7 linked regions of the Sus scrofa genome follow. The protein of the gene in region 5 purifies or fractionates together with the protein of the main gene of each other region. This does not show direct contact. Links are inferred from orthologs where the notes say so. Each region holds a gene or a part of one and is shown on either strand. Other genes may lie near its edges.

Evidence for each region.
Region 1: the proteins of SF3A1 (region 5) and RBM17 purify together in Homo sapiens (affinity purification with mass spectrometry; 4 studies listed by BioGRID and IntAct, counting the BioPlex papers as one, with this or other methods). This does not show direct contact. The link is inferred for Sus scrofa from reciprocal best matches to the Homo sapiens genes SF3A1 and RBM17.
Region 2: the proteins of SF3A1 (region 5) and U2SURP purify together in Homo sapiens (affinity purification with mass spectrometry; 4 studies listed by BioGRID and IntAct, with this or other methods). This does not show direct contact. The link is inferred for Sus scrofa from reciprocal best matches to the Homo sapiens genes SF3A1 and U2SURP.
Region 3: the proteins of SF3A1 (region 5) and SNRPA1 purify together in Homo sapiens (affinity purification with mass spectrometry; 6 studies listed by BioGRID and IntAct, counting the BioPlex papers as one, with this or other methods). This does not show direct contact. The link is inferred for Sus scrofa from reciprocal best matches to the Homo sapiens genes SF3A1 and SNRPA1.
Region 4: the proteins of SF3A1 (region 5) and PRPF8 purify together in Homo sapiens (affinity purification with mass spectrometry; 4 studies listed by BioGRID and IntAct, with this or other methods). This does not show direct contact. The link is inferred for Sus scrofa from reciprocal best matches to the Homo sapiens genes SF3A1 and PRPF8.
Region 6: the proteins of SF3A1 (region 5) and PHF5A purify together in Homo sapiens (affinity purification with mass spectrometry; 3 studies listed by BioGRID and IntAct, with this or other methods). This does not show direct contact. The link is inferred for Sus scrofa from reciprocal best matches to the Homo sapiens genes SF3A1 and PHF5A.
Region 7: the proteins of SF3A1 (region 5) and SART1 fractionate together in Homo sapiens (co-fractionation; 3 studies listed by BioGRID and IntAct, with this or other methods). This does not show direct contact. The link is inferred for Sus scrofa from reciprocal best matches to the Homo sapiens genes SF3A1 and SART1.

Annotation. Positions count from the first base shown.
Region 1 is NC_010452.4:64,892,007-64,895,506, forward strand, and holds part of RBM17 (splicing factor 45), read right to left. Parts: coding exon 3,431-3,500; intron 2,317-3,430; coding exon 2,219-2,316; intron 1,623-2,218; coding exon 1,566-1,622; intron 654-1,565; coding exon 512-653; intron 1-511. UniProt on the Homo sapiens protein: Splice factor that binds to the single-stranded 3'AG at the exon/intron border and promotes its utilization in the second catalytic step. Involved in the regulation of alternative splicing and the utilization of cryptic splice sites.
Region 2 is NC_010455.5:83,703,018-83,707,300, forward strand, and holds the start of U2SURP (U2 snRNP-associated SURP motif-containing protein), read left to right. Parts: upstream 1-1,483; 5' UTR 1,484-1,593; coding exon 1,594-1,638; intron 1,639-1,663; exon of another isoform or gene 1,664-1,754; intron 1,755-4,283.
Region 3 is NC_010443.5:145,706,130-145,710,192, reverse strand, and holds the start of SNRPA1 (U2 small nuclear ribonucleoprotein A'), read right to left. Parts: upstream 2,801-4,063; 5' UTR 2,723-2,800; coding exon 2,641-2,722; intron 1,145-2,640; coding exon 997-1,144; intron 30-996; coding exon 1-29. UniProt on the Homo sapiens protein: Involved in pre-mRNA splicing as component of the spliceosome. Associated with sn-RNP U2, where it contributes to the binding of stem loop IV of U2 snRNA.
Region 4 is NC_010454.4:47,864,287-47,867,786, forward strand, and holds part of PRPF8 (pre-mRNA-processing-splicing factor 8), read right to left. Parts: coding exon 3,460-3,500; intron 3,325-3,459; coding exon 3,196-3,324; intron 1,924-3,195; coding exon 1,810-1,923; intron 1,726-1,809; coding exon 1,552-1,725; intron 1,262-1,551; coding exon 1,068-1,261; intron 352-1,067; coding exon 112-351; intron 1-111. UniProt on the Homo sapiens protein: Plays a role in pre-mRNA splicing as core component of precatalytic, catalytic and postcatalytic spliceosomal complexes, both of the predominant U2-type spliceosome and the minor U12-type spliceosome.
Region 5 is NC_010456.5:47,318,449-47,321,948, reverse strand, and holds part of SF3A1 (splicing factor 3A subunit 1), read left to right. Parts: intron 1-1,536; coding exon 1,537-1,611; intron 1,612-2,148; coding exon 2,149-2,299; intron 2,300-2,645; coding exon 2,646-2,839; intron 2,840-3,500. UniProt on the Homo sapiens protein: Component of the 17S U2 SnRNP complex of the spliceosome, a large ribonucleoprotein complex that removes introns from transcribed pre-mRNAs.
Region 6 is NC_010447.5:7,069,951-7,073,944, reverse strand, and holds the start of PHF5A (PHD finger-like domain-containing protein 5A), read right to left. Parts: upstream 2,801-3,994; 5' UTR 2,435-2,800; coding exon 2,383-2,434; intron 1,966-2,382; coding exon 1,942-1,965; intron 1,447-1,941; coding exon 1,280-1,446; intron 73-1,279; coding exon of another isoform or gene 28-72; exon of another isoform or gene 1-27.
Region 7 is NC_010444.4:6,370,543-6,374,660, reverse strand, and holds the start of SART1 (U4/U6.U5 tri-snRNP-associated protein 1), read left to right. Parts: upstream 1-1,318; 5' UTR 1,319-1,415; coding exon 1,416-1,728; intron 1,729-3,787; coding exon 3,788-3,845; intron 3,846-4,118. UniProt on the Homo sapiens protein: Plays a role in mRNA splicing as a component of the U4/U6-U5 tri-snRNP, one of the building blocks of the spliceosome. May also bind to DNA.

The sequences.
Region 1 (3,500 bases), on a different chromosome or scaffold from region 5:
AAAAAAAATCCCAAAGCCCCACCTGAAAATAAACATTAAAACTATTTTCATATGCTGGCAAACAAATTTCTAATTATCATTAGAATGACTAAGAGCTTTTAGACCAAAGGTTCGGAACCATGATTTTAAAGTAAAGGTCATTTTATCAAGGAAAAGAAAAAAACAGATCTCATCCACCCTGTGGACACAGCGTAAGTTAACTCTAATTCTCAGGAGCTACTTTATTTGCTCATTCATGTTACAAAACTCAGTATCAGCAGTGACCGGAAATGGCTCCTACCTGGAGAACACAGTGTCCAGCGTCTAAATCACTCAAACTCCCATGAGAAGGCCTCGCGTTTCGCACAGAACAGAGGCGTGTCCTGCCGGACACCCGCCTGTGCCGGGAGCACTGCTCCTCCTGGGGGAGGCGGTGTGACGCACACCCCACGCCCCCCACCCCGGACACCCTCACCTCCAGACTCACTCATCTACCCAAAGGGCCAAGGCCTCCCTGCAGCTGCACGGTTACCCCATGTTGGCGAGGAAGGAGTTGCCCGGGCCGGTCGGGGATCTGGGTCTGTCCTGTTCCTCGTACACCGGGGGAGGGATAGCAGCTTTGGAAGACTGTGAACGGGGTCTGGAGTCCTCTTCGTACGGGAAGTCTCGGGGCACTGCTGGAGGAAAACAAAGCCAGTTTATCAACACGCTACAAAACAGTTCTGAGCTGCACTTGAGTCTTCTGCAGGCTCCAGCAGACGCCATCAACCCCTGCGGCTCCCACGACATCCTGTGCACCTGTCCTACAGTCTCGCGAGTCTCACACCCACGTGAGCCTGGCAGCACGAACGGTCTCCGAGGTGGGGGTGGCAGACTCAACAGGCAGCTTCCCAGAGACCCGGATGTGGGGGCCGCACTCTGAGACAGGTTTCAGCTGGGCTGGCTTTATGGTCGTCGGGTGTTTCCACACAAAAGGCACCTGACATTCCCCGACCTCCCTTCTTTATAAACAGACGTGACGCGCACAGGGCCACAGTGGTGGAAAGCACCAGGGAGGATGTTTTCTAGGGAGGTCTGCGTGGGGTCCAGCCCAGATGATCTGTCAGGGCCAATTCCAACCCCGAATTCTAGAGGGAGAACCGGGAGAAGGCGGTTTGGGCGACCTGAGTGAACGCACACAACCCGGGCACCAAAACATCCGACCCAGGAAAGTGCTGCCACCTTGTGGAGGGTCACGTGCTTAACAGCCTGTAAATTACTGGGCACAAAAATTCTAAACTGAGCTGTTTTAACCTAACCCCGAATGTGAAATATCGGAGAAAACAAAACAAGTTGTTTTTAGAAACAAACCAAAAAGGCATCCCCCTGTAGAAGAACCCACGCCTCAGAGACTGGCACATAAACTGGCGAAGGCAGAAGGGGTGGAAGGGAGGACCAGGCCGAGGGCTGGAGCGGGACGGTTCCGGCCACTGCCCTGCCCTCGGGAAGCCCAGCTGGCCGCGGCCAGGACGTCCCCCGACTGGGCTGCAGATGCGCGGGTTGCAGATGCGCGTCTGGACAGAAGGAGGGGAGAGAGAGGTACGTACGCTCTTTGTCCTTCTCCACAAGAGACGTGGGGGGGGCGATGGCAGCGCCGCCCATACCTGCAAAAACATAAATTCCGCTGATCAAAGGCGGGAGAGCGCTTCAGAGTCAGAGTCTCAAGGATGTGACATTGCTGCCTGCTGCGTCACACCTCCCCCCGAGGAGGAAGGATGGAGGGACGTGGCTCCGCCCCTCTCACCAAAGCCCAGGGACTCAGAACTGGAATCCAGGATTAAACTTGGTGAAGCAGGCCTCACTGCTTCCCCTTTCCAGGCGAGAAGGAATCGTGGAGCCGCCCCCGGGCCGTGTGGGGTAAAGGACACAACCTAAATCGTGCTGAGAACCATGCTGGGCGGCCCAGAGCGCAGATCTGAAATTCTCAAGCAAATCGCCGTCAACCAGTGGGCGACTAAACCCAGGAAATCCCAGCGTTGGACAGGGCACGCTCGAGAAGGGTCGGGGCCCAGCGACCCCGTGGCACCAAGGACGTGGCTCAGACACGGCGGGTGTTAGAGCTCCGACGCTCACATGGGTTGCGGGGATCCGCAGAAGATCCCCCAAGTCAGCGCCAACTCAACGACTTATCGAACCGAACGTGAAAGGCCAGAGGGAGAGCCCGCAGCTAAAGCGCCCCGGCCGCGCGCTCCCATCCTACTTCGCTTCCTCCTCTCTCGCTCGTAGTCTTCATCTTCGTCCGAATCTGGATCCGGCCGCCGTGAAAAGCCACTGGCCTCATGTCTGTCCTTACGCCTCCTGTGACAACAAAGGAAGCAACACTCATCACAGAGGAGCCAATTTAGAGACACAAACCCAAGGAAGTCACGAGACCGTACCCCCCACACTAAAGGGTTGGGGTGTGTGTGTGTGTGCGTGTGCGTGTGCATGCGCACGTGCCAAGAGCTGGCTGAAGACCAAAGTAGCAAAAGTATGAGGAGAACAATCCAGAAGATAGATGGAGCAAATCTGATAAGTACAAGCACAGCAGCAGGAAAAACATTTCCTTGGAGTTCCCAGTGTGGCTCAGCACTCAACGAACCCGACTGGCATCCATGAGGATGCAGGTTCGATCCCTGGGTTAAGGATCAGTGGGCTAAGGATCCGGTGTTGCCGTGAGCTGTGGTGTAGGTCACAGATGAGGTTTGGATCCCGCGTTGCTGTGGCAGTGGTGTAGGCCAGGGCTGCTACCACTACAACTGGACCCCTAGCCTGGGAACCTCCATATGCCCTAAAAAGACAAAAAAGAGAGAGAGAGAGAAAAGAAAAAAATTTCTTTGATATTTCCCTCTCTCACTTTTAAAGCATACCAAGAGAGCTAACAGTTAAGAAAAATCAGTAAAAGAGTAACATTTTTAGTATTTTAAAGAGTTAGGATTCTAGCAGACTCACAGCATAAGCAAAAAACTATTATTCAACAGCGAGTTTCTAAGTTAGTTTGTTTTTTTGTCTTTTTGCTATTTCTTTGGGGCTGCTCCCACGGCATATGGAGGTTCCCAGGCTAGGGGTCGAATTGGAGCTGTAGCCACCGGCCTACGCCAGAGCCACAGCAATGCGGGATCCGAGCCTCATCTGTGACCTACAACACAGCTCACGGCAACACCAGAGCTTTAAACCCCCTGAGCAAGGGCAGGGATCGAACCCGCGACCTCATGGTTCCTAGTCGGATTTGTTAACCACTGCGCCACGACGGGAACTCCCTAAGTTACTGTTTTAAGAACACACCCAAATGATCCTGCATCTGTGCCTGAAAGTGGCTCCGATTCTGTCTTCACGCCGGGATGTACACAGCCAGCCCCCGCCCTCCCGCTGCCTGCTCAGATGGGTCACGGTATTTCGAACAAAGAACACCCACGTCCACACGGAGCCTTACTTCTCTCTCTCTTCTATCTCCTTCTGTCTCTCCAGCTCCCGCTGTCGCTGCCGCTCCTCTCGCTGCCGCT
Region 2 (4,283 bases), on a different chromosome or scaffold from region 5:
AATAAATGACTTCAGGAGTTGGTCATGAACCCTTCTTCTTCCTCTAGTGCTCAATCTTTTAAAGCTTAAAATTGGACATCACAGCCCTACTTAATTCTGTTGAAGGCTACTCTTTGCCCTCAGAATAGAATTCTAACTCCCCAAGCACAGTGGTTACCTCAGGGCCCTGTGTGAGCTTGCTTCCATCCACCTCTCCAGCCCTACACCTGGTCTAATACAACGTGACTGCTTACTGTGACTGCACAGTTGGGCTATATTGATTCATGCCATCGGATTTTGTTTCAAGTACTTCCTTTGCCTGGAAAGCTCTTTCCATTTTCTTTGCCTGGTTTGGCTCAGGAATGACCTCCTCAAGCAAGCTTTCCTTCTTTGAATACAGATCCTATTAAAGAAGGAAAGAAAGAAAGAAAAAAGAAAGAAAAGAGCACTGAAGTATGGTTACTCTCCTCTATTTGTGATTAAAAATGAAAGCAATACCAAACTGTAAAATGTAACTCTTTTATCTTGTTTTTTTTTTTTTTTGTTTTAGGGCCACAGGTGTGGCATATGGACATTCCCAGGCTAGAGGCAGAATCTGAGCTACAGCTGCTGGTCTAAGCCACAGTCACAGCAATGCAAGATCTGAGCTGCATCTGCAATCTACACCACAGCTCACCACAAGGATGGATCCTTAACCCACTGAGTGAGGCCAGGGATGAAACCTGCTTCCTCATGGATCCCAGCCAGGTTAGTTACCCCTGAGCCACGATGGGAACTCCTATAAGTCTCTTAAATGACACACAACTGTATATATGTAACTGAATCCACTTTGCTGTACACCCAAAACACAACATTGTAAATCTACTCCGAAATAAAAAAAATTTTAAATAATAACTTATATGAATGCTAGATTTAGACTATCGTCTGCTTATGATTTTTCTCTCATGCATCCTTTCTCTCCACGCACCCATTTTGCAGACGCCTTAAACAGACTATCCAACAACCCCACTGCTGGAATCTCAGCTTGGGTCAAAAGCTGCCCTGCTCTGCTTCTCGGCACCACTGCATTTTAAAGTAACTTGAACAGACCGCAAGTTTGCCTTTCCCCCTAGGGGATGAGAGCCAGAGGTGGCGGGAACACCATCTTTGTCCATGGAGCACCATACCTCAGCCCACTCTCCTGTTGGCTCCAGGTTTACTTGAGTCGAAGTAAAAACTCCTCCCGGCTGACCCATGCATTTCTTCTTTAAGAAGGCTTTCCCTAACTCATCCAGCAAGTGCAACTAGTTCGCGCCTATCAAGGGCTGGCACTGAGAAAAGGGTGCATTCCAACCAGCCCTGAAAGCCTGGACAAGATTCCCTAAATTCTCCGGCGGAGAAAGCAACCCGCCAGGGAGACGCCCACAGATATTCAGCAGAGTGGGCAGGGCTGGAAAAAAAAAAAAAAAAAGAAGACCGACACCGGAAGTCACGTGGCCACTTCCCCTTGAATAGTCGGCAATCGACTATTCAGCCTTGCAGGCGCCTCTGGCGGGCTGTGTTGAGATCCAGTCTTTCGGCGTTCGACTCGCCCGTGCTGCTGCTGCCGCCGCCGAAGGAGGGGCAAAGCTCAAGATGGCGGACAAAACGCCAGGCGGCTCTCAGAAGGCCAGTTCAAAGGTAATTTCTTAAAGGACTTCGTGAGTCATTGAGTCTATCACTGTCGTCTGGAGACTACAGACACTTCTGGCCAGCGGGAGGAGATTGGGGTGGAAGTCCGCGTTCCGGTCGCGACGGTAGGCCGGGGCGCAGACGCACCGTGGTGCGCAGGTTGAGAGGCCTGGTATCTCCCCTCGGTCCCAGCCTGGATTCGGCTCGAGGCTGGCGGGCCCGGGGCAGGTGGCATGAGTAGTTCGCCCCGCGCTTACCACTGGGGTGAAGTCAGGGATTTACACTGAGGTCTGACGCCAGGAAAACGCGCCTCTGTATTTCAGCTTGTTGCGCTCTGAAGCTCCGGGACAGAGTCTAGGAGAGGCGGGAATCACTTCCCGGTACTTAAGGTCTACTTCTCTTTCCTCGGTTCTTTGGGGTTTGGATCTCGTACGCTTCTGGCCTCCTTCAATTTCCCTCACGTCCTGCAGGGAATAAATAATCTCTAGGGCTGCAGATTGTGAGGGGAGGCCCTATAGTGGAGGGACGCGGGGTGGGAAATGCAGAGGCGGGAGCAGTTCTCCTTTGCGGTGCTGCATCACCAAGGTTAATGCTACGCTCTACACGTGGTCTTACCTCCCTTAAGGGGAAGTATGAAATGAACGCTTCTTTGGAGGGCTCATTTTCGAGGACTCGGGGTCCTCATCACCTCCCGAAAGGAGAACTTTCATAAGTTGCTTTTGAGTGTACAGGGAATCGTGTGCAAGTATTGTGAAACCACTGAGCTGTGGGAGTAGTTTAGCTTTAGGTTGTGATTAGCATCTGGCACCAGTTGCCATCTTGGACGGGTCATTTAATCGTTTTTGCTTTGAGTTTCTTTTTCAAAACGATATTAAAAGTAGTAGATAGTGCCCAAAGTAGTTGTTAAGCTTTTCTATGCTGATGTAAGAAATTGTGTAATACACATCTTAAAGAGTGTGTATGAATTGCAAGTCGGTTACTAGGAAGTTAAGTTTACTGTAGACGGGGCTAGTTCTGTGTGTGCAGTTTGTTTTGGGAAATATAACCTATTATATACTTGCTTTCTCAGTTTCTAATCATAATCTTTATGCCATTTGGTGCATGACGTCTATAATTAGTTCGTAATTAGTAATGGATTTACCAGAAATCCTTTAGTTGTGTGGAGGCTATGATAGAAGGCCAGTATTGGCTGCTTTACGTTCTGCGTTTACTCCTTGTTTCTCCTCTCCCCACTTAATTTCCCCTTGATGAGGAGGGGAGTAGTTGGGTACATCACTCTGCCCACTTCCTCAGCAGACTCATCAGAAAAACAGCCCTGTTTACTGTTAGGGAACGATTACCAAAGTTAGCCACATCCATAAAATTCACCGGTAAGCGTCACTATTTTTGTTTCTTCTCAAAATAATACTTTAGTATCTCCTATTTGAGGCCTTGGATACATTGAAAACATTTTAAAGCATATGTTCAGCCTTCTCTAAGAGTATTTGTCAGGGTTGTATATGGCTTTTTTTTTTTTTTTTTTGGTAAGTGTAAATTGTTGAATCTGCCAGGAATCTTTTCAGTTTGTATTGCTTTAGATTATCGTCAATTGATGTGATTAAGAGGTTTCCTACGATGTCTGTAAAATATAGTAGGGCTCAAATGATATGGTTTTTTGCATTAATATGGAGGGTACACGAGGTAGTGGAGAGATTATGGATTTTGATAACAAAGTCGAGATTTGGATTCAAATTCTGACTTGGTACTTTATTTATGATGTCGCAAATTGCTTAAACTTTTGAGCCTCAACTTCCTTGTTGGTAATGTGGATATAATCTCTTTTTCTACAGGGTTGACGTAAAGGTTAAATGAGTGAATAACTCTTAGTTCCTTTGCTTTTCCCTTTTGTTCTTAGAGGAAATGAAAAGTATTTACTTTTCAAAATATCAGGATAAGTTCTAATGCTGAGATTTAGAATCTAGGTCATTAGTTAACATAATGACTATCCACATTGCTGCTTTTTATTTCTAACCCAAGTCCAGAATTTATTGGAGAGAGTTTAAGATCATTTTTGCTAATACTTTCAGTACTTGGAATTTCTAGCCTTTGCTCTCTAGTTTGATTTCCTTTCCTGTGGGGAGTTTAGATGAGTGAGGATTATTCTACTACAATACAGAGGGAGTGAACAGATTCTTCAGTTTTGTGCTTTCTTACTCTTTGTTAAATTGTAGTTATTAAATTCCTATTGATATGGTCAGAGATGCTTGTTAATCATACTTCTAGACACTGAGAAAAATGTTAAGCTTAAAAATGTACAAGGGAATGTAATGTACAGCATGGCGACAGTCTTTAATACTACTGTATTGCATGTTTGAAAGCTGCTGAGAGTAGATCTTAGTTCTCATCACAAGAAGAAAACTGTAAGGCAAATGGCTATTAACCAGGCTTATTGTGGTGATGTTTTTGTAGTGTATACAGATATTTAATCATCATGCTGTATACCTGAATCTAATACAGTGTTTTATGTCAATTATATCTCAGAAGAAGTTTTAAAAATAAACAGATTCTTGCCAATGACAATGGCAAAATTATTTGATGTGTCTTAATTATAACATGTTAAATTAGCTAGTTTCTTCTTGCTTTTAAAATTGTTTCAAGTATATGTAGTCAAATGA
Region 3 (4,063 bases), on a different chromosome or scaffold from region 5:
GAGCCTGATCAAGTCCCTCACCTATACGGCTGAAATAAAAACAGAAGGACTCTTAGTAAACATGCAAATTAAGTCAGCTAAAAATTTTATCTGAGCCCTTGCTCAGAGGGCTTCAGAGTGGGAAGAAACTTAAGAGATCTTTCTTCCAAGACCCTGACAGGAAAATAAGGCACAAAAAGAACTGTCTGAGGTCACACAGGTGACAGAAGTAGGATGACTTTAAAACCCACATCTCCTGAAAGATGTCCAGGGCCCTTCCTACTGCCACACTATCTTAACGAAACCAAAGACAAGAAATTCCTGTGTAAAACAGACTACTTAGTTCATCTCAGGACCTGTGTGAAGCCCAAAAACATAAGTGATTCTGCAGTCAGAGCTCAGGCACAAGATAAGCCAGTAAGCAAACCACAGTGGAATAGTTAACTCACGAGAAATAATGGGCATTTAAAAAAAAGCAACTCACTACCCAGCACTTCTATTGTGTGTGTGTGTGTGTGTGTCTGTGTGTCTTTTTAAGGCTGCACCCACAGCATATGGAGGTTCCCAGGCTAGGGGTCAAATGAAAGCCAAAGCTGCCGGCCTACACTACAGCCACAGAAATGCCAGATCCGAGCCACATCTGCTACCTATGCCGCAGCTTATGGCAATGCCAGATTCTAAAACCACCAGGCAAAGCCAGGGATTGAACCCAGATCCTCATGGATACTAGCTGGGTTCTTAACCTGCTGAGCCATAATGGGAACTCCCCAAAGCAGTAGGTTTTTAACTTAAATTAGAAATGTACCATGAATACATAAATAATACAAGATTTCTGAATAGATGCAAGTAAGACCAGACCAATACCAAATTCATCTCTGGATCTGTATGGGAAAAGTGTAGTTCATTTTCCATTTAAGAAATACGTAGGTGTAACTGGCAATACTGCAACTTCTTTATGGAACTCTGCTACATTTACTCTAGGGGAACAAAAATTACTTTCCACTAGTAGACACTTACCATATTCTATTGTTGTTCACTAACAATGTTTTCAGTCTTCTCAGCAAAGGAAAACCATCTAGTTTCCTGATTTCATTGTCAGAAAAATCAATGGCATCAAATTGGTCTAAGGTAGCACCTAGATTTTCAATGACAGGAATTTTGTACCCTGGAGAAAGGAGGGAAAAAACACACAAGGAAACATTAGCAGCATTTCATGGTAATTGGACTCAAAGCTTTCATTCAATCAGAAAGTTGTTTATCTAGCACCTATGCTGTGCCAAACACTGCCAAAGCACTGGTTGATTACAAGGGCAATAAAGATGAGAATACTCGCTAACAGTAATACTAATAGGTAGCTAACATTTCCAAGTATACTTACAAGGTGCCTTGTATTGTTCTAAGCAAGGCCCCAAAGCTAATGAAGTGGCCTAACAGGACTTTACACTGTGAGCTGCCTACTGTCAGTGTCCAAGCCTTGTCCACGTATTGTGGACAGTAATAGCTCCCAACCTTTTTTGCATTTCCACAGGTCAGATTCCCAGAACTCATTTGGATATCTTCGTATCATGACAGTTCCCACTTCTCTCACCTCCCAGAGGCCCAACCCAGAGTTGAAGGTCAATTTGTACACAATGGTAAATCACCTTGTGAACAACTCACTCAAACGCTCACTGATTTGTCTTCTAGGGGCATAATTATTGTCTTAGGTGCTAGGAGAAGAAAAGAAGTTAACCTAGGCAAGGTTAAATAAGTACACATTTCAGAGCTCTAAAGGCTCAAAGTTAAGTGCTGTACCAAAACGAGCATTCTCAACACCGGATGCACTTCAAACTCAGGCAGACATCAGCCTGTGCCAAGAGTATGAAAGCGGTGGGTTACTCTTGAGTCGAACCTATGATATTTAATTTCAACAAAACGAAAGTACTATGTCAGCAAACAAAAAAGCAAGCAGAAAGCAGGGCCCGCAGCAGTGCTGCTCCTGAGACGGTGTTCTCCCCCGTGGGGGTGGATCTCAAGCCAACACTTAACCCCGGAGAAGTCGTCCTTCACACCCTTTCTAAAGCCTCTCCTACTATGCAGACGAGTTGCCACAGGAATCTAATAGTCTGGAGGACTTCCGCCTCCCTTATAGACGCAAGACATCCGGCAGCCCTAGCGTGGCTGAAACAGTCTGCTCTTTGAAAGGTTTTGGCAAAAGGGAAATAGATCCTTGAAGCTAAGGAGGAGGAAAAGCCGGGAAAAAAAATCGCTTTTGCTCCGGACTTCACTTCCTCCGTCCCATACCCAACCTATATTCTCATGACTTCACTTTACCGTATCTCGGTCCGCACGAGGATCACAAACACGGCTCAGCACCCCAACGGCTCAGCCCACCCCGCAGGCGTGTACTTCCCCGCCCCCCAACGGCTCAGGTCACTCGGCAGGCCCGGCACCGGCCCCGCGGTCTGACCCAAGCATCGAGGCGGTCCCGGGCGGTGGGGGCTGGGCTAAGGAGAGCCTCGAAGGAGTCCAGGGTCGGCGTTTCGCCGACGACAGCGGGACTCAGCCGGGGTAGGAACCGGGACGCACGCCCCAGGCCACGTTCCCGCCCTTCGCGCACGCGGCGGGCGCAGGCCGCCGAGCGGGCGGGGAGGCCGGGCCGCCCGCCCCCGCCCGACTCACCTCGCAAGTCCAGCTCGCGGTCCCGCACGGCGTTGGTGTATTGCGCCGCCTGCTCGATCAGCTCCGCCGTCAGCTTCACCATCCTGTCGCCTCCCGCCTGCAGTGTCTCCCGCTCCTCCCGCCGCACCGACGTCCCGGCGTACCCCGCGCCCGCCGCCAGGCAGCATCAATCGCTTCCGGCGTGTGCTAACAGCGCGGCTCCCAGGCCTAATCAATCGAGGAGCCATTTCCTCCGTGATCGGCCCCGCCCCCGGGCTCGGGCACAGCTTTTGGGCTTTAGCTCCCGCGCTCTCCGCGGCGCATCTGGTTCTGAGTTCGTTCCTCTTGTGCAGCTTCGGCCTGCAGTGCCCCCGAGTCCAGATATTTGTGTCCGCAAGTTAATAAAGAGTGAAAGCCCACGAGTGGAACTTTCGCGTGCGTCAGGACACCTAGAGGTGAAAGGGAGGCAGTGACTGCTTTCACTCCGCCCATGGGATTCAGTGATGGGTCCCGGGCTTTGGCATCCGGGTGACACCATGAAGACCAAGCCTGGGTCTTCCGCACTGGTCTAGTTTGCAGTCAGGCCTGCCCTCTCTAGACAATTAGATATTCATGCTGAAGCCTGATAACACAGGAAGTGTGCAGATCTAAAGTCTGCAACATGACAAATGCCCACAGAGTGAGCACATTTGGGTGGCTGCTGCTGGGGTCCTGAAATTCGGAGACTCCTTCATTCCCCAAAGGGAACTACGAATCCGTCACCATAGATTAGTTTTGCTTACTTTTATATAAAGAGAATGATGCAATCTGTTTTTGTATCTGGTTTCTTTGGCTCTGTGTCATGCCTAAAATCCATCCAGGTTGCAGGCAGCAATGATTTGCTTACTTGCTGCTGTATAGAATTCTATTGCGTCTCTTACACCATAACAATCCATTTCGCTGTCGATGGACATTAGGTTTGTTTCCAGCTTGGGGCTAGTCTGCATAATGCTGCTATGAATTTTGTTGTACGTGGATCGCATGCACCTGTGCCTGAACTTTTCCAGGAGTGAAACTAAGGAGACAAAGTGTGTGGTATTATTGATAGGTACTGCCTGATGATAACTTCCAAGAGGCTGGAATCATTTCCACACTGTAGTGGTGTGTAAGGGTTTCCATCACTTGCCAACATTAACCTCATTTGCACTGTCAGTCTTCATAATTTTAGCAATTCTGGTGAGTACCAGTGCACTATTGCTTTCATTTGCTTTTTTCTAATAATAGTTAAGCATATTGTCCATTCTGATATTTTTTTACAAAGTGCCCATTCAAGTCTTTCTCCCATTTTTTTTCTTAGTGGGTTTTCTTTTTTCTTATTCCTTTTAAGATTTCTTTATATATTCTGAGTGTGAGCATACTATATGGCTTGCCTTTTACTCTTTTTTGGGGGGTAGTAGTTTAAACT
Region 4 (3,500 bases), on a different chromosome or scaffold from region 5:
CACTGAGCCACAACGGGATCTCCCGAATGTTGTCATTTCTCAGCACAAGCACCTCAGGCAGCATCGGCAGTCCTTTCCGTCCCTATCCCTCTTGCCCCTTATAGTTAGTACCTGACCCTCCATTCTGTCTTGGATGAGAAAGTCTGGGTCTCATAGTTGCTGGTGGTAGAGGTGATGATCTCGTCACCGTGCTTGTTGACAGTACGAGTCTGGGTCGCAGTCAGCTGCGACTGTTCCTTGGTCTGCTTCTCAATCTCAGCTATCTGTTGCCGCTGCTGTGATGGTGCTGAGATCTCCATACCCAGGATGATGTCTCGGATTTCTGATTGTGTCAGTGATGCCACATTCACACTGTGGAGAGAGTGTGGGTCACACCACAAGGATCCTTTCCCCTTGGTCACTTAGGTATGCCCCAACGGCAAGAGCGTAACTCGGTGGAGAAGGGAGCCCATATTCTTATCCCAGACAATCCTCAAGTGACACTTGCAAAGGAAGTGTGAAGTGGAAATAAACTAATACTGATAAGATGGGTCACATCCCAGGCTGGCCCTGTGCCTGTACACCTTTCAGCCATGCTCAAACCTGCTCAGCATCCACACCTCCCACTCTCCCTCAACAAAAACTGCCCCCACACCGGAAAACACTCAAAAATGGAAATCCTAGAACAAGTTCTCAGAGTTACCCTTACTGTGCGCCTGGAAATCTATGGGCTTTTTGACTGCCACAGTGACAAAGACGGAGAAACAAGGAAGGTGTGGGCACACGCTATTAGCAGTGGTACCTGGGGGTCTGGGCTGCTAGAACTTCCTGTAATGTATGGACGGTACAGAAATGCGCTTCTCGATTTGGCAACAGAGCGTCTCCGGAGCCAAGCCCGAGTCAGCCTGAGCCCGGACACACGGACATCTCCACACCACGTGAACACCCTGCCTACCCTCCTCTCTTCTACAGGCATCGCCGGACGATTTCTTGAGAAATCTCTGAGCTGAAAATGTTTCAAAAACCCCTGAAACCATGCACTAAGCCGCCCATCGCCCCCGTTCTGGACGTCCCATCTGTCTCCTCACTTGTTTTTCTTGCCGTAGTCGGCCAAGATAAGGTCCTTGAGCTGCACCTCCACCTTGATCCACTCCTCGTCAGTCAGAGTGGGCCAGATGTGGTGTGGTTCCGTGATCGTCGTCTTGTCTGGCTTCAGGATCACCTTCGCCCGGTCGTTATTCACATGCAGGGCGCGCAGAATCAGGATGAGGCGGGAGAAAGCCTGGGGAGAGATGCGGCAGGTCAGCCCTTGATGGTCGGGTTCCCTGCTCCTGATCCCATCCTTTCAGGAGACCCAGGAACTGATTTCAGACTCTAAGGTGCCCCACTCAGCTCCCTCGCCGTACGCCAACTTGACATGCAGTCCCGTATCCACTGACCCACCCGCAGGCTCAAGATGTGAAAATGGCTCCCTAAGGGGCCTGTGGGCAAAGCTAAGGCACAGGATCTCCTTGTGACCCCCAAACCTACCCCTCTTAGACGAGTGACCCTCCTCAAGAGGTGACTTCATACCGTGTAAGATGAGATGGTCTTGAGCCAGTCATCGTAGAGGTTAAAGAGAACCATCTGCGGTTCAGTGGCTTTAAGGATGAGATCCCCAAACTTTTCCACCTTGAGACAAGCCTGGAAGGGGAGCTGGAGCTCTGAGCCTTTGATCACGATATTGGGGAAGTCCAGCAAGTGCACCTGAAACAAGATCAAGTCCAAGTCTAGAAACAGAGTCAGCAGATCTCAGCCCTCTTTTCTTCTACCGCATCCACCACCTCTCACCTCCAGTGGATCCAGCATGCCCTTCCTGGTGACAATGATCTGCTTGGGCTGCTCCTCCACTGGCAAAGAGCGGATCAGGGCGGCCACTTCCTCAGCCGTCTTCCACTTAGCCAACTAAAAAGCAAGCGTAAAGGGAGTGGAAATTGAGTCAATGAGAACAAAAGATCCCAGCCCTGAAACAATCCAACTATGTTTCTACTGTGCACTGCTACTGGAATGGAGGTACTTCGGAGGGATAGATAAAAGCAAACCATGGCCTTGCCCCAAAGAATGTTTCGACCTAGCTGGCCAGACAAAACTCATACAAAATAATACCCTAAGCCCGTATTTGATTATATACTACACTACGTCGGGGACTAAAGAAACTAAGGCTAAAGGTCATAAAAAGTTGCACAAAGAAAGAGATCTTGAGGGATGAGTAAGACAGTGATTAACAGAACAAAGAGGAAAGTTCATTCTAGAAGGAAGGATCTGTGAGCAAAGCCAAAGAAGGGAAGATGGGCATCAGGAAACATGCTATGGAGGAAGAGAAACTGTGGCTGCACAGCTTCCTAGACATTAGGAATCTAGGAAACCAAAGAGTTAATATGACAAAAAAAAGGGGGGGGTTACCAAAGGATGAGGGGGAGAAGAGATTTGGTGAAAATGATGTTTTAGGAATGCTTGCTCCTGGAGTTCCCATCATAGCTAAGTGGTTAACGAGCCCAACTAGCATTTATGAGTATGTGGGTTCAACTCCCAGCCTCACTCAGTGGGTTAAGGATTTGGCGTTGCCCTGAGCTGTGGTGCAGGTTGCAGACGCGCTCGGATCCTGCATTGCTGTGGCTATGGTGTACGTCGGCAGCTACAGCTCCAATGAGACCCCTAGCCTAGGAACCTCCATATGCCACAAGTGTGGCCCTAAAAAGACAAAAGACATTAAAAATAAATAAGTAAGAATGCTTGCTCCCTTTAGAAGGATGATTTCTGGCAGTCTTCTTCAAGACAGGTTGGAGATGGGACATTCAGGAAGGAGAGAAGCCAGCTAGAAGGCAATGAAGAACCTCACTCTTGGATCTCTTTCTGTTGTTTTTTGGCCACACTCGAGGGAAGTGGAAGTTTCCAGGCCAGGGAATGAACTGGCGCCACACCTGTGACCTGAGCCACAGCAGTGAGAATGCCGGATCCTAACCCACTGAGTCACCTGGGAACTCCGCTCCTGGACCTCTTATAGAAGAACACACTTCCAAAGTTAAGTAATTCAGGGGAAAAGTTTAAATGAAACGTCTTCAATCTTACAAGGAGAGAAAGAGAAGACTCTCACTCTTGCACACACACCCCCATCTACATACCAAAGAATAAGAGGCGGCAAGGTTCTCCAGCCTCTCCACACTTTAACAGGCTCACCTGCCCCAGACGCTTCTGTCCAGCCCACACAGACGTGTGAATGATCTTGAGGAAGAGCTGCCCCGTGCGTGGGTTGAAGATGAAGATGGCCCCATTGATGGGCTTGGTGGTCAAGTTCCCTTCGAAGGTCTGAAGAATGATTACGTCAGTTAGCTAAGTCCAGACACAACCAACCTGCCTTCCGTCCAAGACACACACCCTTGCCTTACCACCCCCACAGGCAAACCCAGAGTCCCACAGCCCCATGCTGCGTCTTGCTCTCACCTTATGGATAGTCACTCTGTAGACATTAGTGTCATCCACAA
Region 5 (3,500 bases):
ATAGAAGAGTACCTAAAATAATAATCATTCAAAGCATAAGGCCCAAGGGTTATTGTAATTACACAATATCAATTTTAAGTGAGCACTGGGTTTATTTCCTTCCATGGACTGTTTCTGCAGTTAAAGATCCCCAGATTCATTTTTTATTCTGTTAATTTTCCTGTTCCTTTTCCCTTAAGAACTTAGGTATTGACATATTGTACTCTAATCTGAGGGCAGCGGTGTCTGTCTCTAGCTCTGGGAACTCTAGGAGCAAATAGATTCCTGGGAAGGAGGGACGGGATGTATGGAGTGGGGCTGAACTGCCTTGCCAGTGACAGTAGAAACTATTGGGACAATTAGAAAGACCGGCTGTTTTGTCGTCGTCTTTTTTTTTTTTTTTTTTTCTTTTTAGGGCCACACCTGCGGCATATGGAGGTTCCCAGGCTAGAGGTCCAATTAGAGCTGCAGCTACCAGCCTACACCACAGCCACAGCAACTCAGGATCCAAGCCACGTCTGCAACCTACACCACAGCTCATGGCAACGCTGGATCGTTCACCCACTGAGCAAGGCCAGGGATCAAACCTGAGTCCTGTGGATACTAGTAGGGTTCATTTACAACTGAGCCACAACGGGATTCCAAGACTGGCTGTTTTGAACAAAGCCAGCGTTTGTTCTCCCAGCAAATGTACTTTTGAGTGTCAGATACTATTCCAGGTGCTGGATATATAATAGTAAACTGAATACAGAGAAATCCCTGTTTTTGTGGAGACTGGTCTAGCGAGGGGGCAGCACACAAGTGCAATGTCAGTGTATGTCAGATGATGATAAATACTATGGAAAAAATGCTAAAGGGAGTTCTCGTTGTGGCGCAGTGGTTAACGAATCCGACTAGGAACCATGAGGTTTCGGGCTTGATCCCTGGCCTTGCTCAGTGGGTTAGGGATCCAGCATTGCCGTGAGCTGTGGTATAGGTTGCAGACGTGGCTCGGATCCCTTGTTGCTGTGGCTGTGGTGTAGGCCAGTGGCTACAGCTCCAATTCGACCCCTAGCCTGGGAACCTCCATATGCCGTGGGAGCAGTCCTAGAAAAGGCAAAAAGACAGACAAAAAAAAAAAAAAAAAAAAAAGTGCTAAAGAGAAAGCAGGGGATGGAAGTCTAGGGTGGTGGGCTGCAGTCTTCAGTAAAGTCATGGAGAGGGCCTGGTGGCATGTGCAAAAGGGCAAGGGCAGAGCCTCCCCCTGAGAGCAGCTGTTTCATGCTAACTGTGTGCTGGGTGATCTGGTAGTGGTTTTGCCTACTCTCCTGCTAATCTTTGCAAACTTTTAAGTGGATGATGCCAACTTTAATTGGTGGTGTCACCATTTTGTAGAAGGAAACTGAGCAACAGAGGTTAAATAACTTGTCCAAAGTCACACAGCCAAGTAGAACTGAGATTGGGTCCCAGAATCCCACGCTCACCTTTCTCCTCTGCCTTTCTACAGGCCCAAGAAGGCCACTTGTTTGTCCCATGTTGTGCTGCACTGACAGTTGATTTAACTCTCCTGTGTTACAGATCTTGATTCCACCCAAAGGCTTATTTACTAAGCTCAAGAAAGAGGCAGAGAACCCCCGGGAAGTTTTGGACCAGGTAAACTGAATTTTTTATAACCAGCTACTCATGGTGCAAGTTACATTGTGTGGGTTCTTGTGTGTTTGGAAGTCTCCAAATCAGTACCTTGTGCTCTAGGCACAGCAGTGGTGAGAAGAAACGCCTTGAGGCCACAAAGGGCAAAGAAACCTGCATTCTCTGCTACCCAACTTTCTGCTTTGTTCTCCACTTCACTAGGTCTCTTTCCTTCCTTTGCTAGAAGCCAGCTTTTGAATGGGTTCTCTGGTGACCACTGCCTTTTAAGCCTCAGGTTTTCAGAGTCAAGAGAAGGCATATTGGTACTGGCTGTTCTAGGTGGCTGCTTGAAGACTTCTGTTTTGCAGGCTTTCTGACTGCTTCTGCTTTTGTGGGCATTTGGTTGTCACACAGACTTTCTGGGAGGGAGTTTGCTAGCCATTGGCCAAGTCAAGCAGAAAACTTTGACAGCCTCCTGTTTGAGGGAGATGCTGGCCTTGGTGAAGGCCCTGGAGATGATCTTGAGTCAACTCAGCACCATGTTGGTTCCCATCTCTTTAGGTGTGTTACCGAGTGGAGTGGGCCAAGTTTCAGGAGCGTGAGAGAAAGAAGGAAGAGGAGGAGAAGGAGAAGGAGCGGGTAGCCTATGCTCAAATTGACTGGCATGATTTTGTGGTGGTAGAAACGGTGGACTTCCAACCCAATGAGCAAGGTAGGTCTCTGAGGAAGGTAGGTCTGTGACTCCAGTTGGGGGACCAAGAGCTTGGAGCCATCCTGGGAAATCTCATCCAGTTATCTCCAGGGAGCAGCAGAATCCCTCAGACGGTTTTATCTGTATTTGCTTCATCTCTGGTTCCAGAAGACTTCAGTCCTACCGCATTGCCCCAGCTAAACCCAATTCAACAAATACTTGTTGTGCCAGACCCTAGGTTGGAGATAGGAGATAAGTCAGACAGCTCCAGCCCTTGGAGAGCTGACAGCGTGGAGAGGGCAGATAGTTGGGCCTTTGAAAAGGGTCTGTAGAGGCCTCCCCTTGACTCTGGCTTACTCTCTGCCAGGGAACTTCCCTCCCCCCACCACCCCAGAGGAGCTGGGGGCCCGAATCCTCATTCAGGAGCGCTACGAGAAGTTTGGGGAGAGTGAGGAAGTTGAGATGGAGGTTGAGTCTGATGACGAGGACGAGAAACAGGATAAGGCGGAGGAGCCTCCTTCCCAGCTGGACCAGGACACCCAAGTGCAAGACATGGATGAGGTATGCTCCTGGGAGGGCCTTTGGGGTGACTTTTTCCCTGGAGCCCAGAGAGATGGGTGTTCTTCTCCAGAATTAGGACCTCAAAAGGAGGTGTGGGTCCCGAATAAGGTAGCTGCCCAAGCCCCGGCAGCACAGACCGTCTTTGCAGTTCAGACAACAAAGATTTATTGACCAGCAAGGATCTGAAAGCTGTGCTGGCCCTATTCTGTGACCTTCCTCCTTTGCCCAAATGCCCTGCTCGCTACCACCCCCAGGCCAGCTCTCAGTTAGGGAACCCTCTGCACCTCGTACTTTGATGTTTTCGAGATTACACCCAAATGATCAGCAGTTCCCAGAGCTTTTCTAAGTGTAGCTTGTGTTTCCTTTCGGCTGCCTCTATTTGCTTCGAGCCAGGCCCTCCAGGCAGGCACAGAGTCACCAGAGCCAAGCTGCTTTTCTCCTCTCGGAAGGAATTTATGTGCAGCCTGAGAAGAAAGGCCCCTGTGTTTGTGGGAATTGACGTTTTCTCTCCCTCCCAGCATTGCTCCTTGAGCGACTACCATTGAGCGATGACTTGCCCCCTGCTCCCCTCCCCAGCATGTTAAGTGCCCTTGGCCTCCTGGGACTGCCTGGTGCCAGCTGCTGGAAATGCCTGGGCGGAGTGTTAGCACCACTGCCCCAG
Region 6 (3,994 bases), on a different chromosome or scaffold from region 5:
TAAGGTGTATTGCAGCTATCACCAGGTTTAGACAGACAGCCGGGGCTTGCCCCTTATTAGCTGCAGGACAGACTGTAAAAGGGGGATAGTAATAATCCCTATTTAACAAAGTTACTGTGAAGAATATGGAAGATAATACCCACATAGAAACTACCTATTCTTTGCACAAGGAAAAATTAAGAAATATTTTATCTCATGCCTTATCCTAGATTAGGTAACCAGATACCTTATAATAAATAGTCTACTGGTACTATATCACATTTCCTTTTATTTATTGTGTCATATGAATAAAAGCTGATTAACCTCCCCTACCCCAAGCCTGCTTTTGGAATAGATCTACAAGCCCTCTATCCTGGCTCAAAGAGTTGAATAAATAGCCACTGGCACCGGAGTTCCCGTCGTGGTGCAGTGGTTAACGAATCTGACTAGGAACCATGAGGATGCGGGTTCGATCCCTGCCCTTGCTCAGTGGGTTAAGGATCCGGCGTTGCCACGAGCTGTGGTGTAGGTTGCAGAGGCGGCTCGGATCCTGCGTTGCTGTGGCTCTGGCGTAGGCCAGTGGCTACAGCTCCGATTTGACCCCTAGCCTGGGAACTTCCATATGCCACGGGAGCGGCACAAAGAAATAGCAAAAAAAAAAAAAAAAAAAAGCCACTGGCACCAAAAAAATGTCAAGGGGCAAAAATGCCATGAGCAAGAATTACAATCAATTCTGCAAAATCAACCAAAGGCACTCTCTAGCCACTCAGAGCTGAAATGAACTTGAACTGTCCCAAATTCAAAAGTCATCACATCCACCCTAACGTTCCTTAATGGTAGCACAAATTAGTGACTTCTGCACATCATGCACTGTGGTATGATTTAAAAATGCAGCATAGTTTCTGGGGGGAAAAAAAAAAAGAGAGAGAAAGTTCCTTTGTGGTGCAGTAGGTTAAGGATCTGGCATTGCCGTAGCTGTGGCACAGGCCACAACAGCAGCATGGTTCATCCCTGGCCTGGGAGCGTCCACATGTGGACACAGCCAAAAAAAAAAAAAAAGAGAGAGAGAAAGACATCAAATTGCCAGTGTTGACAAAAATTTGCTTTTCTCGCCTTTGTGTACTTGATGCAAAATAACTACCTTTTGTTGGAGTACACCCAGTTTGGTTTACAGAACTTGAAAATTATAACCTAGGTGACTGGCTGAACAGCCATCTCCTGACCATAGGAGTCTGCTGTGGATGGCCAAGTGTTCCTAAACGAAAGGAAAGATCAGAGGAAAAGCTTAGTATACACTCACATCCTTCTCCTGGATGGTGCACTCCTTACAATAATAGGCATCTGAAACTCCCGGGCCTCCGCAGATCACACAGCGCCCCTGGTAAGAGCCATAGTTACACTCGTCACATATGCGCACCAGGGTGCAGGGACGCACGTAGGAGTCACAGATCACACACTTGCCATCACCTGTAAGGAAAAGAGGTTGAATTACGCCCACTTGCAAGTACCTCAGGTCCTCTTCCTGCTATGGGTAAAAACACTATGTCCTTCTGACAGTGACTTTAGCCCTCTATTTTGGCATTATAAAATTGGTTTACCTAGCGTCCATTTCTCAATCTCCCCAACACATAGGAAAGCTAATCAATTAATATAAAGGGCTTAGAATAGCAGTCGGTAGATAAGTCTATATAATTGACTGGCAGAATGCTGTGTGTGTTGGGGGCAGGGTCATGCTACTTCTGGTCCAAAGCTAGAGGTTTTGTCAAAACCTAAATACAGTGCCTAAAATGTACAAGTTGGAGCGGGAAGGTGGCCTTTAGTTGCAGTCTGGCTTTGTATTAACATGCTTCCAATCATGTCTATCCAAAGCCCTCTTCGTGGCACCGCTGAAAATGTCCGTTGCTGCCACTATAGAAGCTGAGTGGGAGGGGTGGGCTGTTTGGAGAAGCGTGTTCCACTCACATTTTTCACACAGTCTTCCAATGGCTGCAAGATCAAAGGTGATAAAGAGTACAATTAGGATTAAGGTTTAGAAGAGGGGACAAAAGCCTCGAGCTTGAGTTGGGGACAGGTACAGGGTCTGCAGTGAGCCCTGAGAGGTCTTAACCATCGTATTCTCATAAACTTCAATCCGAACCAAATCCGCACCCTCGTAAGACCTCCCAGGTCCTGGGAAAACTGAGAATTTCTCTATCTCCGCAGCCCCTCTCCAGCTCTCAGCACGCGCGCCCCCGCCCCCCTTTCATCTGAGCCCACAAACCCACGCGCTCCTACACTACCGGCGGCGAGGCGGGAAACGGGGCGCCTCCGAAGCAACACCCTAAAGGAGTAATGGGAACCCCGGACTCTTAAGGTCCTAATACCATCCCCACCCAAACAGCCGGGGGCAGAAGACCGTCTCACCAACACCAGCCTGCTTGCGGCAAAAAATCAAGTCCGGGTGATGCTTAGCCATCGCTCGCGCTCAAACCACCGGAAGCTTAGGGAGCTTCCGCCAGACCTTTAACCCTGATTGTTCCTGCCTCCTCGTCGCCCTGATTGGTTCTCTAGGCGTCCATCAGCGTTTGCAATCTTTGCACCAAGCCCCGCTCATTCTCGCGTGATCAAAGCACTTAAATTCCGAAGACGAATTCCCGTTGGCAGTGGGGGAGTCAGGTCTTGGTAGGGGTGTGCGGGTCATTTAGGGAAAAAAAAAAAAAAAAACTTTCCCAGATTTGAATGGGAGGGACAAGTTGCAGAGCGCAAAGACGAAATTTGCACTTTGATATCTTTGTGCCGGGTATTTACTACCCCAACTTTTTAGGCAGCTCTCTCCCAATTCCCAGGTTGACTCTGGAGCTCCGCCCACGTCGCTCGCGGGAACGCCTTCAGCGTGACGCGTTTCTCCTCAGGTCACGCCCCTCACCGAAGGCCTTAAATAAGCCGCGTGTCACGTCACTTTCAAGCGACCTCATCTTTGTCAGTGCACAAAATGGCGCCTTACAGCCTACTGGTGACCCGGCTGCAGGTGAGCGAACCGAGAGCCCTCTAGGTTTACGGGGGCGGGGTACCTCTTTTGCGCTTGCGGCTATGGGCAAGGCAAGGCGAGGCGGGCCTGACCTCCGGCCGACTTTTCGCGTACCTGTCCCTTGCGCGGGCCCAGCGCAAATACCCGCTCCTCTGGCGCCCGAGGTCAGGGCGTCCCCGGCTCAGTCAGCTCTCAGCCCTGTCCCCGCCCCGCTGGAAGCAAGGGCCTAAGAAGCGGCGGCCGGGTGAAGAGTGGAGGCACGTCTTTCTCATTTTTGAGGACCGCAGTTTCTTCCCCCGTAAGGCTTTTTTTTTTTTTTTTTTTTTTCCTCCCCCGTTCCTCAAGGTGAGGACAAGGTGACTGGGGGGCGCGGTGGTTGGTAAGCGCGCTAGGCCCAGAGCCTGAAGGCCTCACTTTTCATCTCAGTAGCACAGAGTTGCTAGCCAGGTGCATCTACGGTTGCCAAACATGGAGTCTGTAGGGGGGGAAAAAAAAAAAACTATGACCTATTCCATCTTGTGGGGATCCTGCGGAACATGTACCCAAGAATTCGAGGGGGTGGGTTCCGTGCCCAGATGTAGCAAATAGTAATGATGACAGTAGTCTCTCAGCTTTGCACAAGATTGCAAGACTTAATTCCTCACCACATCGTTTGATTCATATCATCATTTCTGGAGATGATTATTTTTATTTGATAGGTGATGACGCTGTTAGAAAACAGGTAAAAGTTCTGCTCTCTGAGTCTTACCAAAGTGCTGTGGCCTGAGCATCTGCCCTACTACTCCCCATTCTCCTTGTCCCTTTCAGCCTGCCCTCACAGAACTTTTTGAGCCAGAGTGTGGTCCTGGAGCTGACATTTGTATTTGTGGGAGTTCCAGAATGGCGTATTTTGAGCTCACAATCAGTTGCTTTTCAGTTACTAGATGGGGAGGGTAAAAGAGACTCAACAGTTTGACCTTGACTGTCCTCTTTTGAACCATCTAGAAGATTGACTGACTGCCATTTCTT
Region 7 (4,118 bases), on a different chromosome or scaffold from region 5:
TCTAAGATTAAAATTAAAAATAAAATTAAATGCTTTGTGGAAAATAGTGTGAGATTTCTGGTGGTGGGAAGGGGCTGCGTGTTGGGAGCTGGCGGTGGCAGGTGGGTTTGCAGCAGGCTTTCCCCACATCCCAGAGGAACTCTGGCTGTTCTGGCTGCCCCCTCCCTGTGCACAGCTCTGCCTCTGCTCCTGAGGTGTGAGCATGGCATCTCCAAGAGCAACAGCGGCAACTTGCCCTAGAAATGCTGGGTCCTAGAAAGTCAAGAGTGAATAGGACAGAATGGCTTCTGCCTTTGGGAACTCCCAGTTCTGGGGGGGAGGAAAGCGGAACTTTAAAGGGGAGCATAATCACAGACAGATGGGCCTCCAGATGGGGCAACTGGGAGGTGAGGGGTGTCAGGAGGGATGGAGAGATTGTGTGAACAGAGTTTTTGTTGTTGTTGTTTATTTGGCTGTGCCTGTGGCATGCGAGAGTTCCTGGGTCAGGAATTGAACCCAAGCCACAGGAGTGACCCAAGTCGCTCCAGTGACAGTCCCGGATCTTTAGATCTTTAACTCGCTGCGCCATAGGAGAATTCCTGTGTAAACTGAGATTTTAGCTTCAAGCAACTTCAAGTTAGAGCTCCTCTCAAGAGGGAAAAAAAAAAAGCAGCAGCAGCTCCCGCGAGCGCGCTCTCTCTCTCTCTCTCTCACACACACACACACACACACACACACACACACACACACACACACACACCCCGATGTGCTAAATTTTGCGTTCGATTTCAGGGGTTCACAGGCATGCAAAGGCCCATCTCGAGCTCCGTAGCAGTCAAAGCGCACGTTAAAAAAACCCAATTCAGGGACCGTGGGAAGGCAGCGTTTGCAGACAATATTAGTTGTGGGGGCTGGGAGGAGGCTGGGTTGTGGAGCTGAGGGTCTCAGGAGCAGAACGTGCTCCGTCCTCCTACACCTGATCGGCCACGACCCCAGGGAGTCTACTAGGAGGACTTCTGCTGGAGCGGCGGGCGCTGCAGTGAGCATCCCGTGGCTGAGGGTGTGCAAGCGGAGGGAAGCCAGGGAGGCCATGCTGGCTTAGATGGGCCCTAGGTCCTTCAAATTCTGGGATACGGTCTTCCCCGGACTCGAACGCGCCCCTCAAGCTTGAGCGCACGCGCAATCCGACCACTATGTCAAAGACCGCCGCTCGGCCAGTGCCGGCCGCGAATGCGCAGTCGGGCCCGATCCCAGCCTTCCCATGAGCCTTTGGGGCAGCTCCGAGGCAAAGGACGGAAGCAGCCGCTCTTGGTTTCCGGCAACGCGACGGCGCAGCCGGGCCCGACCCGGAAGTGTTCCCATTTTGCGCCGTCGGGGCTCGGCGGCGGCGGTGGCGGCGGCGGCGGCGGCGGCGGGGCTCGGGTGGACCTACCACCATGGGGTCGTCAAAGAAGCACCGCGGGGAGAAGGAGGCGGCCGGGACTACGGCAGGAGCGAGCACCGGGAGCGCCACCGAGCAGCCGCCTCGGCACCGGGAGCACAAAAAACACAAGCACCGGAGCAGCGGCGGCGGCAGCAGCGGTGGCGAACGACGAAAGCGGAGCCGGGAGCGTGGGAGCGAGCGCGGGAGCGGGCGGCGCGGGGCCGAAGCGGAGGCCCGCAGCAGCACGCACGGGCGGGAGCGTAGCCAGACAGAGCCCTCCGAGCGCCGCGTGAAGCGGGAGAAGCGAGATGAAGGCTACGAGGCCGGTGAGGGGCGGGGCCTGGGCAGGGGGCGGGGCGATGGGGAGGGTCTCAGGGTGGAGGGCCTCGGGGATGGAAGCCAAGCCCACAGGCCCAGCCATCCCCAGGCCCGTCGTCAGCGCATTTGGAAGGGTCTTGTTTTGATTATTTGGGATTAAGGGTTGGCTTTCTCTGCTAAACTCCGTGAAGGTGGAGATTTTCTCTGTTTTCCTTAACTGACACATCACAGGCACTCGCTAAATGTGTCGAGTGAACGCATGGAGTGGTACCATCGTGTGTAGAGGCAGGAGGACACCTGGTATTGGGCAGGTTATGTAGAGCTCATAGCAGAGACATGAGGCAGGGGTCCGAACACAGAGGCTCCTGCAAGCCTGTTAAGATAATTGAATTTTGTTGGCGTTCCCGTCCTGGCGCAGCGGAAACGAATCCGACTAGGAACCATGAGGTTGTGGGTTCGACCCCTGGCCTGGCTCAGTGGGTTAAGGATCCTGCACTGTCTTGAGCTGTGGTGTAGGTCACAGGTGCAACTCGGATCTGGCGTGGCTGTGGCGGTGGTGTAGGCCGGCAGCTGTAGCTCCAATTCGACCCTTAGCCTGGGAACCTCCATATGCCAGGGTGTGGCCCTGAGAAAACAAAAAACAAAAAATTTTGAACTTTGTTTCAAAAGTAATAGGGAGCCATGAATTCGAGCTGGGGAGCGAGTTAGTCGTATTCACGTTATCACAGAGAACACTGTGTTGAGAACTGGGTAAAGAGCAGTCAAGACCCATAGAGGAGGTAAGGACTGGCCATGGCTGGCACCAGGGCAGCAGCAGCGGGATGGAGAGTCGTTGACCCATTGGAGAGGTGTTTTGGAGGAGGAGGTGACAGAGCTTAAGCACTTGGATGACAGTGGGAAGGAGAAGAAGGAATTGAGGATGGTCCTTGGATTTTGGCTGGTGTGACCAGGTGGGTGGTAGTGTTGTCGACGGAAGTTGAGTTTGGAAGAGAAGCAGATTTTTTGGAGAGAGACAGTGAATTCAGTTTTGAGGAGTGTTGCATGAGGCACATGGGGAAACTCAGGGCTTGGGCAGGACAGAGCAGTTTGAGAGTCATAAGGGTTCAATGGCAAATGAAGTCCCTTGAGAGAGTGAGGATTGAGAAGCCAGGGTCGGGGGCAGAACCTCAGGAATGTCTACGTTTTAGTAGCAGGCGGAGCAAGATGGTACAAAAAAGGAGGTTGGATGTTCCCCAAAGCAAGAATACCATAGCATCTCATGTCATGGGATCTGTGGGCGTGATCAGTGGTGTCACACACCACAGGAGATGAGGCAAAACCAGAGTGGCAGAGAATCCATCGGATTTACAGACAAGGAGGCTGGCGACCTTGGAGCGAGCACGGAGGTGCTTGGGAGTCAGGGTCCAGGTGGGGTGGGAGGGAAAGACGTAGGTTGCGAGGTGGCCATGCTGGAGGGAGGAGCTCCAGCCGATGGCGTCCAGCTTCTGTGTGTGGCATTCTGTGTGTGACATTTGCTGTTTATGAGGTGGGTGAAAGAGCTCAGAAGCGCTGCTTTATTTCCTGTAGCATCCTCACAGCACAGGCGCCAGTAAGTGTATTTTTTGACTGTGTGAATTACACAGAGAGAACACAGATATGCTGCCAACATGGGCCCTGCCCTGTGAGCAAAAACAGACCTGGAGATGGCCGTGACCGTGCTGTGGAGTGCAGGGGAGAGGAGTTGGTGCTGATCAGGAATCAGGACTCCGGCCTCTGATTGTTGCGTTTGGATAGCATCTTGCTAATCAGAGTGAGGCCAGAGAGGGCCGTGTAGGTTGTAACAACAGAATACACAGAGGTGGAGAGGTGGCAGAGTGAAGGATGTGGCAGGTTGGACCTTTTGGATCAGAAGGTGTGTCGACAGCCTGGGAGTCAGGTAGGAGGAGCCCCTGGGATGGAGGAAGGCTGCTGTTCCCTGATGTCTCGGGGCAGATGGGGGACCCTCACCTTCAGCCCTGCGGCTGGAGCCAAGGAAGTGGCTTCTGGGCCCCGTGTTCAGCTCCTGAGCCTCTCTCTCTCTTGTTCCAGCTGCCAGCTCCAAGACTAGCTCGGGCGATGCCTCGTCACTCAGCATCGAGGAGACCAAGTGAGTACTGTCACCTTTATGCTACTGTGTCTTCTTCTGAGACGGGCAGCTTTGGGGGCAGCAGGTGGGTGAAGCTTTCTCATCGTAGAGCCTTCTGCTTGGGATTTGGAAGTGCCATAGAAACCATCTTAGCCAACGATTTGCATTACAGAAGTGGACACTCAGACCCAAGAGGAAGGATGGCATTTTCCTGGGTAGGGGCAGGCCAGGCCTTCCGCCTAATGCAGAGGCCAGTGCTCTTCTGAGCGCTGGGTCAGGCCCTCGGTTTGGGAC